Kluyveromyces lactis: one gene and its partners. The protein of the gene in region 1 purifies or fractionates together with the protein of each later gene. This does not show direct contact. Links are inferred from orthologs where the notes say so. Each region holds a gene or a part of one and is shown on either strand. Other genes may lie near its edges.

What was found. Proteins that work in one complex are often made in the same cells at the same time.
Region 2: the proteins of NOP12 (region 1) and PWP1 purify together in Saccharomyces cerevisiae (affinity purification with mass spectrometry; 4 studies listed by BioGRID). This does not show direct contact. The link is inferred for Kluyveromyces lactis from reciprocal best matches to the Saccharomyces cerevisiae genes NOP12 and PWP1.
Region 3: the proteins of NOP12 (region 1) and BRX1 purify together in Saccharomyces cerevisiae (affinity purification with mass spectrometry; 3 studies listed by BioGRID). This does not show direct contact. The link is inferred for Kluyveromyces lactis from reciprocal best matches to the Saccharomyces cerevisiae genes NOP12 and BRX1.
Region 4: the proteins of NOP12 (region 1) and RRP5 purify together in Saccharomyces cerevisiae (affinity purification with mass spectrometry; 3 studies listed by BioGRID). This does not show direct contact. The link is inferred for Kluyveromyces lactis from reciprocal best matches to the Saccharomyces cerevisiae genes NOP12 and RRP5.

The regions. Positions count from the first base shown.
Region 1 is NC_006042.1:733,268-737,592, forward strand, and holds NOP12 (rRNA-processing protein NOP12), read right to left. Parts: upstream 3,011-4,325; coding exon 1,622-3,010; downstream 1-1,621. Other genes in the region: KLLA0_F07755g (uncharacterized protein), read left to right, coding at 1-230; SYN8 (syntaxin), read right to left, coding at 486-1,268; Rpd3L histone deacetylase complex subunit DEP1, read left to right, coding at 3,787-4,325.
Region 2 is NC_006041.1:1,732,087-1,736,582, reverse strand, and holds PWP1 (rRNA-processing protein PWP1), read left to right. Parts: upstream 1-1,156; coding exon 1,157-2,875; downstream 2,876-4,496. Other genes in the region: glycylpeptide N-tetradecanoyltransferase NMT1, read right to left, coding at 1-567; UGX2 (Ugx2p), read right to left, coding at 3,105-3,662; KLLA0_E19471g (fatty acid desaturase), read left to right, coding at 4,211-4,496.
Region 3 is NC_006041.1:1,577,368-1,581,251, forward strand, and holds BRX1 (ribosome biogenesis protein BRX1), read left to right. Parts: upstream 1-1,366; coding exon 1,367-2,263; downstream 2,264-3,884. Other genes in the region: MDM20 (Mdm20p), read right to left, coding at 1-754; KLLA0_E17821g (S10 family peptidase), read left to right, coding at 3,708-3,884. UniProt on the Saccharomyces cerevisiae protein: Required for biogenesis of the 60S ribosomal subunit.
Region 4 is NC_006038.1:728,522-733,770, forward strand, and holds the start of RRP5 (Rrp5p), read left to right. Parts: upstream 1-1,328; coding exon 1,329-5,249. Other genes in the region: YPK9 (putative acid anhydride hydrolase), read right to left, coding at 1-162.

The DNA.
Region 1 (4,325 bases):
ACACCCGTCATGTGTATACGGGGCAGAACTTCAATAGCATGGAACAGCACAAGCAACAACAGCAAGTTAACCCTTATCTGCTGTCCAATAACGTCCAGCAGTCCTTTAACATCAACGATAACCAACAAAGCTATTACGGTAGAAGTATGAAAAATGGCAGTAGCAATAGCAGCAACAATTATAATACCAATAGTCTTGGAGGATCGCATACCATCAATAACAAATGGTAATATTCCGGTTTATTTTCCTTTTATTCAGAATAATATTATTAGCATTCAGATTCTCTACGTTGTTCGTTTCTTATTAATCACTATAAAGTTTTCCACTTAGTTGCTCGAAATGATATTAATTGTTGTGGAAAAGGGTTTTCATTGTTTCTGGTTATTTGAGCTTCAGTTCTAAGAATAGTATTTAATAGCATGTATCCTATTCATTCTAAAACACCATTTTAATTTAATATTTGTTCTCCAATACCATTCCGTATATCAAATTATAACTAAAAGGAATAGTATTATAGAAAGAATCACAATTAGGAAGCAAGGGCCTTTCTCACGAGCTGTTGCTTCGTAAGCATTAAGTCTTCTCCCAGCCCTTTGTAAATGACTTTCACTTCGATCTACTTGGCGCTCAATATCCGTTAAGAGATGTTCATTTTGCTGTTCTACCTCATCGTTAATCTCGATAGATATTCCTTGTGTCCTATTAATAGAACTTGACAGGTTTTCTAGATGGCTCTCTTGTTCCATCAATTGCTGCTGTTGTTGAATGAAAATATCCTGATTTGAAACTTGTGGAGAAATATTGTATTTTGGAGTTCCTGTCTCTTGATTTCCAAATAATTCCTTTCTCTTGACCTCCAATAAATCATCTACAACTGTAGATGAAGACTCATCATCTTTATATGGTTTAAACTTCTGTTCGGGTTCTTTATGCTCTTCAACTAATCCGTCTTTAAACCGTACCTTCTTTGTTTCTCTCAGATTAGGCTTTCTTTTGAATCTATAGAGTTCCTTGTCAATGACTGTTTCTGGCAAGCCTTCAATGATATCATTATAAGTTTTAATCTGATGATTAAATCTATCATCTTCAGAAAAGGGTACATCATCTTCATAATCTTTGAGCAAATCAAGTGTATGGTTTATATGTTTCTTAAGTTTTATGTTATCATTTTTAGATGGTTGCATGTGAAGGACATCCATTAACCTGTCTCTCTCATCCACAATCTCTATTAATTTATCGATTTCATATTCGACCTTCAAACCATTCATTTTTTTATATCTATCGTCCCTCTTTCTCTGTAGATAATACGCCTAACATTAAGCTTCGCATAGGTGTTGGCTGCGTTAGGTTACGAAATGCCACTTATTTTTAACACGAGCTGTCTCTTATGCCAACGAATCACATTTAAGGTTCTCCGGTATATAGCATAAAATATCGAATAGTCAAAGAATTAATAGGACAAAAGAGATTACCCGGAACAATAATTGACAGTAATTCCCCAGTTGAAGCACCAAGACCAATTGCAAGCCAAATCGGAGATACAACAAGTGTCTGTCTTATTGAAAAGTTGGATTATTTATCCATATGTACACTATACTATAATTGTTAAGGTTGTGCTCCATTATTGAGCATTTTGTTTCTTAAAAGCTATCGAACGCTTAGTAACTCTTCCTGTCTTTGATCTGTTCTTTGTTCTTTTTAGTACAGGGGTGGTTTCTCCCTTTGAAGCTCTTAAACCCTCAATTGTCAACTCTTCACCTAGCTTAGCCCTATCAGCCTTACCTAACACCTTCTTAGCTCTTCCCAGTTTTGTCCTTTGTTGGTCGTTTAATTTATTATTTTGTAGGGAAGATTGGTTTCCTTGGGCCTTTCTCATATTCTTGCATCTAGAAATTCTTAGCTTTCTGGCCTTCTTACCTTCATGGATCTTCTTTTCATGTAGTAGTAACGCTTTACTCACTGATTGGAAGTCCTTAAATTGAACGTATGCGAAACCTTTACCCATGTTCGTCTTTGAATCACGAATAATACGAACATATTCAATGTCACCACAAGGTTCAAAGTGCTTCCAGAGACTTTCTTCCACTTCTTCAAAATCCAAATTACCCACGAAGACTGATCTTCTCTTATCATGTGGGGAGGGGTGTGTAACCGAATCCACTCTCAAATGATGGTCGTTGAACACTTTACCGTTCAGATATTGGCACATAATCTTGACCGGATTGGAGCTCCCATATACGGCATATGCGTTGATCGAATCTCTAGATTTGTGAAGCTTTTGATGAACAAATGCAACTTTTCTTGGCAATGCTTCTTCGAATGCAATGGATCTGAATCTGATACTTTCCACATTAAACTTAACATCTTTTGTCTTACTTTCTTCTTCTTCTTCGTCTTCTTCTCCGTCATCGTGGTCATCATTCTCGCTACGGGGATCCTTGGAGAGAAGTTTCTTAAATTCTTTGTAAACTTTCTTTGATGTGATAACCTCATTTGGTACATTCCCAATAAAAATTGTTCTCTCAGCCTTGGCTAGTTCCTTTTCTTTCAAATTGATAACTTTAGCAGATTCAGATTCCGTGCCGGTAATCGAAGACTTATCGACTGCAGTTGCTTCATCTTCATTATCACTATCGGAAGAGTCGTCCTTAGGTTCATCCTTAGGTTCATCTTTAGATTTAGAATCACCTAATACCTTAGAATAATATTGAACTTCCAAATTATCATTCTCTTCATCATTCTTCTTGGTCTTCTTCTTTTTCTTCTTCGGCTGTTCTTCCTGTTCTTCCTGTTCTTTCTCTACTCCTTCGGAGACAGTAGAAGCACTTTCCTGGACATTCTCTTCTTCTTGTTCATCCTTATCCTGTTCAGGCTCAGTTAGCACAGTCCTAGCTTTCGACTTTACTTTACGCTCATCGACATGATTAGGTTTGGAGAATAACGCTGCAATCGATGATGTACCTGCCGCGTCTGATTTGGAATTTCCAAATAAATTGTTCAATGCGGACATCCCGTAATATAATTTTGGTTTGTTATGTTTGAAAGACCCTGGTTCACCAACACAAACGTTATTCCTCTGCACTAAACCTGCTGGTGGCTGTCCAAGTCTCTTCGATGCGATGAGCTTTATCCATTTGTCTGTTGAATTATCGAAAGTGAAAAACCTGCACTTCCTAGAAAAGCCAGCAGAAATCATGAATTTACCACCAAAAAGAAATGCGGAAGAAAAGCGTACGCTCTATGGACAAATCGAATGTATCGTAGTCACGTGATTAACACCGTGGAATGTACTATATGGCCGGGTAACATCATGTTCCTTTTCCTTAAAAAACGTACAAACTGTAAATAGTGCTGAAATGCCGAAATATAAGTTAAGAATAAAAATACAGTCTGATTTTAGCATGAACATATAGTTATGGCCAGTCAGCAATCAATACATAGATCTCATCCAAACGTGATTTAAAATATTGTGTACTACTAAGAATAGAGAGAGATAACTGTTTTGCTAGTAAAAATAAGAATTACGCGAAGTAAGGTATATTTGCAGCCCTTTGTTTTAGTGTGTCAGGTATCAACTTTCAATCTATTCAAGCAGCAATTCTTAACTTATACTGCGCATATTAAACGGTTTGCTGGTTAAATTTTGTGTGTTTCTGCATTGGAGTATAAGCTAAGTGTTTTTTCTTTGCCATCAGCCGATTGGAGTAATACAAAGGTTGTATTGGTTATATGCGTTGGGATTTCTTTCTTTTTGAATTCAAACGGTACTATCTTTGAATCATTCAAATGGAGCCAGAGAGAAACAAAAATAACAGTGTAGAGGCTGCGAGTGAGATTGACGATCATAATACCAGATCTGCCCCCACTACGAAACTTACCAAAGAAGTTTTAGAGAAGATTGCTTCGGATTCTGATTCTGTTAATTTTAACGCAAATAGTTATTCAAGGAAATCGAAATCAGGGAGTCCCTCAAAGGTTGGTACATTAGAATACGACGATAACAGTACCAGTGGATTATCTAAGGTCACTTCTCCAGAACATCCAAACTCAGTCTCTCTATCGGACATATACATCTCATCAGACGCTGAGACCGAAAAGATGGATTTAGAAGAGGACGAATCACGTGTCAAACTATCGGAAATGGCATCCAATTCGATTGAAAGTAACGGTAATGACAAAAGTAAACAAAATGATGATAATCTTTCGAAGACTGTAAAACAAGAGTACATCAATAATGGTGTCGGTAGTTATATTCAAGAATCTGCCCCTAAACTTGCTACTCCTTCAAAAGATGAGGGACCAATCGTTCAGCAAGATAAACCAGC
Region 2 (4,496 bases), on another chromosome or scaffold:
TTCTTTGATTAAAATTGGCGCCAATCTCTTTGATCTCAACTTCTTGTGCACACATAAGAAGTTAATTTCGACACTACGCACATCATTACCTCTAACTTGTAAGTTGGTTGGGATAGCGCTGATAAAACCAACAAGTCTCTTGGTTTCTTTAACCCTGACACCGACTTGCCATTCCTCTTTCCAGCCAGGTGGTTTCAACCCCCAATTCAAGAAATCACGGGAATAATTGAATCTGAAGGTAGAGTCTTTGTCCTCGACATAGTTCTCATTCAATAACACGTATACGTCTTCCAACTGTTTTTCGTCATTAACGTCAACGGTACACCACTCGAAATCTCCCAATAATGGCAAGGGTGTGTCTGGAATATCCTCTGGTCTCTTACTGGAATCAATAGGCCCCTCTTTCTTGATCACTTCATCAAATTTAGTAACCGGCTGAGTCTTCCAGAACTTATACTCGTTCATATCCTTACGTTGTTGAGAGGTGAACTTCGACAAATCACCATCATGGACCTTCAAAAGTTTCAACAACTCTTCCAATTTCTTAGATTTATCTTCTTCAGACATTGTGATATATTATTTCCAGCGGAAAAGACGCGCGTTCGCAGCTACCTTAAGGTCGATCGGGGCAACAATAGCAGTACTAACAAAAGTCAACCGCTGTATCGCCTATTGTACTTCTTTTGAAGTCGTTTCAAATGTCGTTTCCCATATTGACAAATCCTAGCTCAACGTTTTTTTTTTTCAGATTAACCTGAGCGGTGTCATCAAGTCGCACATTTTGCAAACAAAATTACATATTAATGATAGAGAACATTCGATTCAAGATCATCAAGCTGCTATGACAACTATCATAAGGGCTTAATTGTTTGAGATTTATAATTGCGGCTTAACTGCAGTTGTAGATGCCATTAACACCTTATTCCTTTCCGTCTGCGCTGTTTCAACAGGGGTCGAATCCATCTACTTTCTTTTTTCTTTCGAGGTTAGCGATTCGAAAATTTTCTAACATGAGATGAGATGAGATGAGATGAGATGAGATAGGTAGTTGATAAAACTGGGACTGGTTTATGGTTTATAGGCTGTTTGTATTGATACAGGGTGTTCTTATATACCAATTAATCAGTGTATTTGTTTGATAAGTGGAAGTATCACCATGTTGTCTGCTACTTCGTGGGTACCAAGAGGGTTCGCGAGTGAATTTCCTGAGAAATATGAACTTAACGATGAAGAGATGGAAAGGATTAACGAGTTGGCCAAATTGAATTTAGATGAGGCCAAACATGATTTAGAAGAGGCTCAGGAAGCTGAAGAAGGAGGTGAAGAAGTTACAGAAGAAGTGGAAGAGCCAACTACTAATGGTAACGCATTGAAGGACCAATTGGCAGTTGATGACGATTTGAAAGAATTCGACTTAGAGCATTACGATGATCCAGAAGATGAAGCCAACGCCCAAGATGCCATGTTCATGGGTTTATCCGAGGAAGTCAAATTTTACGAGGGTGAAGAAGGTGAAGATCCTTATATTTCCCTTCCAAAATCAAAGGATGACGTGGAAGAGAAGCAAGAATTACAAGTTTATCCGACTGATAACATGGTCCTAGCTACCAGAACTGAAGATGACGTTTCTTACTTGGACGTATATGTGTACGATGATGGTGCCGGGTTCCACGATTCGGATATTCCATCAGAAAAGGGTGATGAACAAGATCCTGATGTGGCGCGTGGTTTAGTTCGTGATTCTTCGTTGTATGTACACCACGACCTTATGTTACCAGCCTTCCCACTTTGTGTTGAATGTTTGAATTACAAGCCAGGTTCAAACAGTGATGAAACTGTTGCAAATTTCGCTGCAGTGGGTACTTTCGATCCTGCCATTGAGATTTGGAATTTGGATTGTGTTGATAAGGCTTTCCCTGATATGATTCTTGGTGAACCAACAGATAACTCTATCGCCTTACCAACTAAATCAAAAAAGAAGAAGAAGAGCAAAAGCAAACATGTGACAACACATCACACTGATGCCATCCTATCTCTAGCACATAACAAACAGTTCAGAGCAGTTTTAGCCTCTACATCAGCAGATCATACTGTCAAATTATGGGATTTAAACACAGCAACCGCCGCTCGTTCGTTAATCAACATCCATTCAAATACCAATGTGTCAGCATCGCAATGGCATCCATCAAACGGTTCTGTGTTATTGACTGCTGGTTACGATTCTCGTGCTGCATTGTCCGATGTGAGAATCGAAAACGACAACGATATGTCTAAATACTGGAACGTTTCATCCGGAGAGGAAATCGAATGTGTCCGTTTTGCTGATGAAAACATCTTCATTTGCGGTACTGATAACGGTAACGTGTACTCTTTTGATATTAGAAATGGTGCCGAATCTAAGCCAGTTTGGACTTTGAAGGCTCATGATGCAGGTGTTTCATCTGTCGAAATCAACAGACATATTCCAAATATGCTGTTAACCAGTGCTATGGGTGAAAAACCTGTCAAATTATGGAAATGTCCATTAGACGCAAAGCCTGGTAAAGGTCCAAGCATGGTACTAAGTCGTGATTTCGGTGTAGGAAATGTATTAACCACTTCATTCGCACCAGATATTGAAATTGCAGGTAATATGGTTGTTGGTGGTGTGAGCCCCGGTCTAAAATTATGGGATGTGTTCACAAACAGATCTGTTAGAAAGAGTTTCCAACCAGAGCTTAAAACCTTACAACAACGAGCAAGAGAAGAGGCCATAGCTCTGGGGAAAAGTTCAAGAATCGCTAGAAAGTATACCAAAAACGACAACCCAGAAACTGTGCTCACTGTGGAGGATCAAAACGATGAGGAAGAAGACGACGAAGAAGATGAAGATTAAATTCTCGTCACACAGTTTCACTATTGTACAATATATAATGCATATTCCTAATTCTCTATAAGGATAAAACAGAATTAAAATGAACCTCCAGTCAAAAATCTCTAGACTAGTTGCAACATAGTACGTCCTTTCTAGGTTACTTACCCATTAATACATTTTCGGCGGCGTATATATCCTGTATGAACATGTACTAATAAAAAAGAGACATTCTGCCAACGAAATTTACAAATTATGATCTTACAAGGCTTTTGAGGAGTTTGTTCTCCAGAGTTTCTGATTCTACATCGATAACGGTCACTTCTGTACGTTTAAAGTTTCCCTGTTCCCTATCAGCAGAAAATGATATACTTCTGTCGGATTTACGTCTTGGTCTAATAAAAGCATCACTGATCCTTCGATAAACCTGCGGAGAGTAACGGTAGTGTGTATTTGTGTCTTTGGAGGAAAGAGTAATGGGCCTGCCATCATGATCCATATTTTCATCTTCGTTTTCACTAGTTTTTTCCGTAACTGCCTCTTCCTCGCATTTTAACCCTTCAATTACCGATTCAATGCTGTCAACATGACCGTCATACACAACTTGACACATTTGCTCGTATCTAGTAGCAAAAAAATCTTGATTCCAATCAAAACCCTGTGAATGAGCCATCGAAATCACATACTGAATCCTTTCAGAAGAACTATTGCCATTATTATCATATCTTCTTGATCCGTAGCTGTCACTGACTTCATAGGCGATCCCTGTTTCACTAGCCAACATGCTAGATGATAGATAAAACTCCCTCATAGAAAAACACAAAGTAATTGGGTAATGTTCAGATCTGCTGCAGATTGGATAAACTTTAGACAAAATATAACTCAACACACCGTTGCATTCGGCTTCATAACAAGATACCAGTTCTTTATATTTCAAGGGTTTTATGCCTGACTCTTTAAACCTCTAAACTACATCATCGGGAACAAAAGACTTTTTATCACGTGACAGTTGGTTCTCATTCGTTTAAAGGGGAATATTCATGATATTTGTTACCCGGAAAATTCAGTAAGTACACCACAGTATAACGCCCGTAAGATAGAATAAATATTCAAATATGTATATGGTGATCTATGAAACAGCCACGTACAATATGCAAACGAAGAATAGCTGTATATCGGTTTTAACATATCAGTTCAATGCAATCATAGTTATAGTACAAGTAGATATAATATTGTGTTTCAGGTACACAAGCCCAATGGAAAGAAAATTAACTATCTAAGCCACCTGTTTTCGTTGATACTATTTATCAAATCATCGAATCCTGAACTTGAAAGCGTCAAGAGCTAAAAGACTACAGTATGAGTAGAGTTTTGAGCAGGCGAGATATCGCTGATAGGATTGCTAAGGGCCAGACGATTGTAATATATGAAGATTCGGTCCTGAACCTGGATAAATGGATCAAGTTTCACCCTGGCGGTGACAAATCTATTTATCATATGATCGGTCGCGATGCGACCGATGAGATGAATGCATACCATGACGATCAGACCATAACAAAATTTAAGATATGGAAAATTGGCCGCATTGATTATCCATGGGAGAATATGCTGCCTCCGATTCAAGGTGGTAGGTTTTCGAAGATTG
Region 3 (3,884 bases), on another chromosome or scaffold:
TCAATAACGAGATTCCATGTTTCCAAATGAGTTTATAATCGTCTAATTTCACCAAATGGCCCATAAGGAAGTTTTTCAAATAAAGGTCTAAGTAAGTACCATGTTTCCAAAACTTGAGGATCTCGTCCACGATCTCCTGTGATTTATCCTCAAACAATTCACAAACTTTACAGAAAACGATCAACTCTTGCTCATTCTCAAAAGGTTTCAAATCGCTTGTCAATTTATATGTCAACTTAGGTAAAAGATCCAATTCCCTTTCGTTAATGTTATCTTTATCCAACTGAAACCATACTACAGTAGCAATACTGTTCCAGAATTGGAACAATCTCGATTTCGATTTTTCATTGACTCGTGGCATCTGGAAACTACTCTTACTCAAATGTCTCCAATTTAAATCCCTCAATGACTCCAAGAACCAATCATAACATGTCTCCGAATTACCGTATTTCATCATTGCTCTTTCATAAGGTTCCAATGCACTGGTGGTGTCAAAACCTAATTCCAACAAAAATCGATGGCACATTGATAGCGATTTCGCATCGCTTGGAGGAGATTTGGCATCCAAGATCAACTTTAACCCATTTTCAAAACTATATTTCGCAGGAGATTGCCTGTACTTGACATATTGCTCTAACACTTTGTAATAAGTGGCGGATGGGTACCGTTTCTGCAATGATGCAACAAACTGTGAAGCTTTCTTAAACAGTTCCCTATCTAATAGCTGAAAAAGCTGATGATCTTCAGAGTTCATATCAACAGTTTCCACTCTTCGTGTTGGTCGATATCAAATCTAACAGATCAAACAGCAACGAACACCGTTACTGCCAGACATACCGGGTTGTTCTACGAACGACGTGCGTATGAGGTTGTTCATTAGAAGTTTGAATGCTGAATTAAGCCAATATCGTAATTTTTCAGTCTTGATTACCCGGATAATAAACTATAACTGTATGTGTATCCATAAATGTAAACGGCACAGCCTAACAAGGGCATCAGCGCTCTTACTGCTTGAAATATAAACGCAAGACCTCACCATACAATCCCCACCCGCGTTGAATCTGATAGAAGCCAGTTGGCAGACGATACGAACATTTTCTTTTCGAGAAACTATCCTTTTCTATTTTAAATCATCACTGATGAGCCTTAGTTTCTTTTTCGGTACATTGAAAATTTTTGAAAAGTTAGAAAAGGCGATGAGATGAGATGAGATGAGATGAGATGAGATGAGAAGAGGTATTGAACAAGGTTGTCCTGATCCTTCCAATCTATACATCGTCGGTCTAAACACTTTGAGATTATTGTATTACACTTGAGTAGTTGGAAGGAAGAAAAAGCCAAGAACTGCTAAGCAAATCCTTCTATAATGTCGAGTATTTTCAAGACTTTGTCTCGTAAGGATAAAGACGGTAAGAAGAACAAAAATAATGCGGCTAACAGTGACAGTAATGAGAAACAGTTCATGAATAAGCAACGTACCTTACTTATTACGTCCAGAGGTGTTACTTATAGACATCGTCATTTGGTTCAGGATTTGAACAGTCTTCTACCACATTCGAGAAAGGAACCTAAGTTGGACACGAAGAAGGATCTAGGACAATTGAATGAGATTGCGGAATTGTACAACTGTAATAACATTATATTCTTTGAAGCTAGAAAGCACCAGGATTTGTACCTATGGCTATCAAAGCCACCAAATGGACCAACAATCAAGTTTTATTTGCAGAACCTACATACCATGGACGAATTAAACTTCACTGGCAACTGTTTGAAGGGATCCAGACCAATATTGTCATTTGATGGTAGATTTGATTCTGAACCGCACTACCGTTTAATTAAAGAACTTTTTATCCATAACTTCGGTGTACCACCTCAAGCTAGAAAGTCCAAGCCATTCATTGACCATATCATGTCTTTCAGTATAGTTGACGAAAAGATCTGGGTAAGAACGTATGAGATCTCGCATGAAGCTAGGAACAACGTTGAATATGAGGATAAAGAAGAAGATGAAACGTCGTTAGTTGAAATTGGCCCACGTTTCGTGATGACACCGATTTTGATCCTTGAAGGTTCATTTGGTGGTCCAAAGATCTACGAAAACAGACAATACGTATCGCCAAACTTCGTTAGATCTCAAATTAAACAACAGGCTGCCAAGGAAGCTAAGACCAGAGCCGAAGCTGCTGTTGAAAGGAAACTAAAGAAGAGAGAAAGTGTCTTGGCTGTAGATCCATTATCCAACGATGCATTGTTCAAAGATTAAAGTACAATCCAGAACTCTAGAAAAAATCATGATTTATATATTGTCAACTTAGGAGAACGGCGTTCTTCCTGCTCAGACTTGTACATATGTATACTCCTATATATATGCTTTTGAATGGGCTGTTTTTGATAATATAATTTTTCGTTTTATTCCTAACTATACTATACGTTAAAGTCGTACATGAATATTTAATTTATTTAGTTAACTTGGGGGGCCAGAATACCAGTTAAACTTGAAGCGTCATGAAACGTCATGGGGAAAACGTTTTTACATTTGGTGTGAACCACAGTGTGCTGTTTGAAATGTTTTTTTTATCATTTGTTTGAATTTTAATAGATTTATTAATATTTTACTTGCCCAATGCCATTGCATTCTTCTATTCCCCAAATACGAAGATGTTATGCGTAGTAATAACAAATCATACTGTATAATTTTCAGGAAACGTGAATTGAACAGTCAAGTGGGTAGAATTAATAAGGAAGTAAAAATGTCCTGACTTTTATCTTTAGTGCTTTTCAGCGTTGGCAGTATGCTTTTCCAAGTAAGCCTTGATGAAATCTTCCTCACCCTTAGAGGAAGTAGAGTATAATGGCTTGGCTGGTTGCTTAGACTTGAATGGGTTTGGAATAACCAACAATAATACAGCACCTAAAGTCCCTAGGGCCAATTGATGTGGTTGAACAGTTCTACCCAAAATTGTGTATGCAGCACTCATCGTATATCAAATTATTTTCTTGGTCTATATTCTAACAGAGTGAATCTCGAACAAAGGTGTATAGGATACCACTAATAACGCATCTGATCCAGTGCAAAAGTTCGCTCAAAACCGCCTTGTTCTTTCTAGTGAGAAGAATTCGAAACTTTGAAATTTTTCAGCTTTGAGAAAGGAAATCCTGCTTTACACGCTTTTTAAGAGTAAATCGCTCAGAAACAGACGTAGCATATTCTTCAACACACCCATACACCTCACACAGTTTACTGGACCAATCATGTAAGAGCAGCTCGTATAAAACTGGTAAAAACCAGAGAGTACACACAGTTTAACGTATGTTTACTGCTGAATTCTGTCAACTGGATACGGAAGACAATAGAATGGACACATAATGGTCTCAATACGACAATTCAACGGCTCTTAGAAGGTGAGTTATTCTTGACATTTTCATGGCTCTTCGAGCATGCTTTCTAAGATGACGCGGAAGGTGAAAAAGATTAGAAAACGGCCATTCACGTGAATATCACGTGAACTACAAATTCATGATATATTACCGCCAATAGTATTGGTGGTTACCCGATCGTATCGAATGTACTGACTTCGAAAATATGAATAGTCCTCTTTAAAACAAAGGGTTTTCAGTGACCCTTACTCCATCATCTCCTTAGTATTTGGTCTACAGACTGCCATTGCCGTATATTCAGGGTAGTAGTCAGTACATCGGTGTCTGCCATGGTTTCGATAAAGTTTCTTTTATCTTTATACGGCTGGCTATCTGTCACTTTAGCCATCTCGTTGAATGCCGTTGTTGATAGTTTATTCTCGAACAGTTTCGACGGGAATAACAACATCGAGGATCATGAAACTGCAAATTATAACACTCAGTTTAGTGTCTTCAGCTCAAATATT
Region 4 (5,249 bases), on another chromosome or scaffold:
TACAGCAGCACCAGAATATGGTTCTGTGTTGTTTTGTTCCAAGATTGCTGATGAAGTAGTTGTATTAGCGCTGGATCCCGTCCTTGTCGAAGAAAAGGACGGTCTTGCTGATTTATTCGCACTATGGGGTATTCCTGTAAATCTGCTGTCGAATGATGACATTGAGTCCCTCTTCAAAGGTGCGTTGGTCGACCTTATCTATTGATAGAATCCACTCCATATTACTTTTTAAAGGTTTCTGATATATATGAGAATGTAGGTTGATAAATTGAAGATAATTGATTTAATGAAATTTCATACCAAGACACATAATACATAAGGAAGGATAGGAGAAAAGGCAGGCCAATGATACCTCACGTTACAATGTGGAACTTTACTGTGTTGATAAAACTCTCGTAGTTCGATAGATATATAGACTGCCCCTGAAAATGGATCGAAAGGAGCCAGAAACAGCTTTAGACTGTAATATGATGGTGCTTTTATGCCTTATAATAAATATTTCCGGCTGTGAAAGTACCTTTAGAAATGAAATTGAACAAAAAAGAGAAAAAACATATAGTCTGATCTGAAACTATTACCATAGAAGGCATTCCACTCGTAATTGCACAAATTTTTCTTAGCATGACCAACAAAACTCTTATCACTCCCCTAGAACCTTTTAGTTACATGGTTTCCACCATTACAGATATGTAATTATTATACCTCTTTAAGAAGATAGAATAACTGGCTAACAAAAGCCCTTAATAGTTAAGAAGTATGTCATGCATTCAAAAGACCCTAATCCGTGGATACGGTTCAAACAAACTCCAGTGATAACAACGGAAGATCTGTACAACGTTCCATTATTAAACTGTCACTGCATCAAAGGCGCGATTACATTTCGTCTATGTCGTTTTGATTTCTTTTTTTTAATATTGAAAATTTTCAAAAATCGATGCGATGAGATGAGATGAGATGAGATGAGCTTTAGCTACTTAAGTGCTGGATCATTTGTATTGGTATGCTAACACATTTCTGAGCTTTGTTGATTCTAGAAACCAAGTGCAACTTTCTTAATTCTGGTAAAGATAAGTCTGGTTTACTTTCTCAAACAGGAAACAGTTTGGTATAACATATTTTGTATCTTTCTCTGAATTCTTTTTGCTTTGTGCTTTCTATTGGCTTTATTGGTTTCTATCTTCACAGAAGACAAAAACAACAACAACTTGGGAACAGGAGCTTCAATAGTTTGCAAGACACTTCAAGAAAAACATAGGTTTACATCTAAATTGCTAGGTGTAATTTGTTTTGAAAACAGGCATATCTAAATACCGAAAAAGATCACAAACATGGTTGCTCCACAAAGTAAAAGAAAGAGAGACGATGAGTCTCCTTTAGTAAGACAGGATGCTACCGAAGCACCAGCCAAATCTGCATTGAGTAAATCCGAGGAAATCTCATTTCCAAGAGGTGGTTCTTCTGCTTTATCCCCATTGGAAGTTAAGCAGGTTGGTAACGAAGTGGTTGCTGATGTTTTATTTGGCAAGGATGAATCAGCTACTGGTGCAGAGGGCCCAACGAAGAAGAAAAAGAAGAATGCTAAGAATAATTTTGATCAAATTACCACAGGTGATGATGAAGAAAAAGAGGACAAGACTGATTTAATTGAGCATTTTGGAATGAAACAAATGACCAAAGGGACCATTGTCTTGGGTCAAATCCAATCGATCAGCAAACATGAACTGAAAATATCTTTGGTGGACGGTTTGCATGGTTACGTCTCATTAACAGATATCTCTGAACAAATGACCAAGATTTTGGAAAATTTGGACGAATCCATGGAAAGCGATGATGAAAAAAATGAGGACTCAGAATACGATTCTTCAGATGATGAAAGCGACATAACAACTCCTAAAGAATTACCTGATCTCAATAAATATTTCAAAATAGGCCAATGGTTGAGGTGCATGGTACAAAATAACAGCGCTTTAGAATCAAACAAGAACAAAAAGTTAGACTTATCCATCGAACCCTCTGTAGTAAACGTGTTTGAAGATGATGATTTAGCTAAAAACTGTCCACTACAGTGTTCGTTGAAAAGTATAGAAGATCACGGTGCCATTCTTGATATCGGTATTGAGAACTTAACAGGTTTTATCTCAAAGAAGGATATACCTGAATTCAGTTCTTTGTTACCAGGTATGGTGTTCTTAGCTACAGTGACGAAAAGATCTGGTAGAACTGTAAATGTCAACTTGGATTTGGCCAGTAAAAACACCAAGGTCGAAAAGATCTCTTCCATAGATGCCATCGTGCCGGGTCAATCGATTGACTTTTTACCTCAAACTATCACAAATCACGGTGTTATCGGTAAAGCCTTCGGTCTAATAACTGCATTTTTGCCATTGCCACATTCCAATTTCTTTACGGTAGAGGATTTGAAGCATCACTACTCCATTGGTGACTTAGTCAATGCTAGAATTTTGGCAACCACTATAGTGAAAAGCGGCGATAAAGTTGCTGTCGTTTCCACACAACCTCATATCATCTCATTGCATCCAAAATTACAGGAGACCGAAGCGTTAGAATCTTTCCCCGTTGGCTATATCTTCGATTCTTGCACAGTTAAAGGCAGGGATAGTCAATTTTTCTACGTATCAATCAACAATGAACAGGTGGGACAAATTCATTTGTCAAAGGCAGGAGAAACTGAACCAACGGGAACTGTGAAAGCAAGAATACTCGGCTATAACAATGTAGATAAACTTTACACATTGACGTCTGATCCAGCCTTACTTGATGTCAAATACCTAAGATCGTCCGATATTCCAGCAGGCGAAGTTTTGAGCGCTTGTGAGATTGTCACAGTGTCAGGAAAAGGTATTGAATTAAAAATTTTCAATGATCAATTTAAGGCATTTGTTCCTCCCTTACACATATCTGATACCAGACTTGTGTATCCTGAAAGAAAATTCAAAATTGGTTCAAAGGTTAAAGGTAGAGTTCTCAATGTCGATTCTGTGGGCCGTGTCACTGTGACATTGAAAAAGTCTATTGTAAATGCAGACGAAGAATCTGTGACGTTAGTCTGCAAAAATGATGATATTCAGACTGTTGAAAGTCAAGAATTGAAAACAATTGGTACTGTTGAAATATTCAAGCCTAATGGTTGTGTTATCTCGTTCTTTAATAATATCAAAGCTTTCGTTCCAAACAAAGAAATTTCAGAAGCATTTGTAAAGAAACCACAAGAACACTTAAGACTAGGACAAAGTGTTTTGGTTAAAATTTTGAATCATGACTTCGAAAGAAACAGAATTATTGCTTCTTGTAAAATTTCAGCAGAGTCTTCTTCCAAGCAAAAGAGTGCTATTGAATCTTTAGTTGTCGGTAAATCTATCATCGATGCAATTGTTATTGAAAAGACTAAAGATTCCGTCATCGTAGAATCTAAAGATTCAGGGTTGCGCGGTGTTATTTACACCGGCCATTTGTCAGATGATAGAATTGAACAAAACAGAGCTTCGCAGAAAAAGTTAAAGATTAACTCTGAAGTTAGAGGTTTGGTTTTGGACAAGGACATCAGGACTCATGTGTTCAACATGTCCTGTAAAAAATCATTGATTAAAGATGCTGAAGACGGTACCCTTCCTTTAAGTTTTTCCGACATCAAAAATAAAGACAAAACAGAACCGATGCATGGTTACGTTAAATCTGTTTCTGACCGTGGTGTTTTTGTTGCATTCAATGGTAAATTTGTCGGTTTGGTTTTACCAAGTTATGCAGCAGAAACCAGAGATATTGATATTCATAAGAAATACTACATCAATCAATCCGTGACCGTGTATTTATTGAGAACAGATGAGGAACATGAAAGATTTTTATTGACTATTTTAAAACAAAAGACCGATGTTAAGAAGATCAATTCATCTGTAATTAACCCAGTCGACAAGTCTATCAAAGATTTGTCGGACTTCACTATCGGTAAGGTTACAAAGGCTACAATTACATCAGTTAAGAAGAACCAGCTTAACGTTACGTTGGCTGATAATGTACATGGTCGTATCAGTATTTCTGAAGTTTTCGACAGTTTCGAAGATATCAAAGAACAAAAGGCACCATTAAGTGTGTACAAGAAAAATGATTCACTCTCAGTCAGAGTTATCGGGTTCCACGATATTAAAAGCCGTAAATTCTTACCAATTTCTCACACAACATCCAAGAGCCATCTAGTCGAACTGAGCGCAAAGCCATCTTCATTAACTTCTCCAGTTTCCGAAAAGAAACTCAAGGACTTCACTCCAGAGCAAACAACCTTTGGATTCATTAATAATTATAGCAACGATACCGCATGGTTGACTATCACTCCTACTGTCAAGGCCAAACTACCAATCTTTGAGATCTCAGATGAAGGTCATGACTTTTCCTTACCAATTGAAGAGAAATACCCAATAGGTACAGCTGTCAGAGTAACCGTCAAATCTATTGATACTGAGCATGATTCACTAGTTGTTTCTGCTAGATCGCACGCCATCTCCTCTATTTCAGAAATTAAAGAAGGCGATGTTCTACCTGCTAGGGTAATTTCTGTTCAGGATACTTACGTTTTATTGTCTTTAGGTAAAGATGTTACTGGTGTTTCATTCATAACCGATGCTTTAGATGATTATTCTCTATCGTTGAAAGATGTCTATGACTCCAAAAAGAAGAACATTGTTTCCGCCACAGTTTTGAATGTTGACATAGACAATAACAAGATCAATTTATCCTTGCGTTCTTCTTCTCCAAAGGACCGTACCATCATCTCCTCCTCTGAATTGAAGAGAGGTGATATTGTTCGTGGTTTTGTTAAATCTATCACTGACAAAGGTGTTTTTATTAGTTTGAGCAGTGTATTGCAAGCATTCGTTCCAGTTTCCAAGCTTACGGATGCCTTTATCAAGGATTGGAAGAAATTTTTCAGAAGAGGTCAAAGTGTTGTCGGTAAGGTTGTGAACTGTGATAATGATGATCGCGTACTATTAACTTTGAGGGAATCTGAAGTCAACGGTCAATTGAACGTATTAAAATCATACTCTGATATTAATGTGGGCGATATTTTCCAAGGTTCTGTGAAGAATGTTACTGACTTTGGTGTTTTCGTAAAGTTGGACGGTACAGTCAACGTAACTGGTTTGGCCCACAAAAGTGAAGTCGCTGACGCTAAAATAGATAATTTACAAAACCTTTTCGGTGAAGGTGACAAAGTTAAAGCAATCGTCTTAAAGACC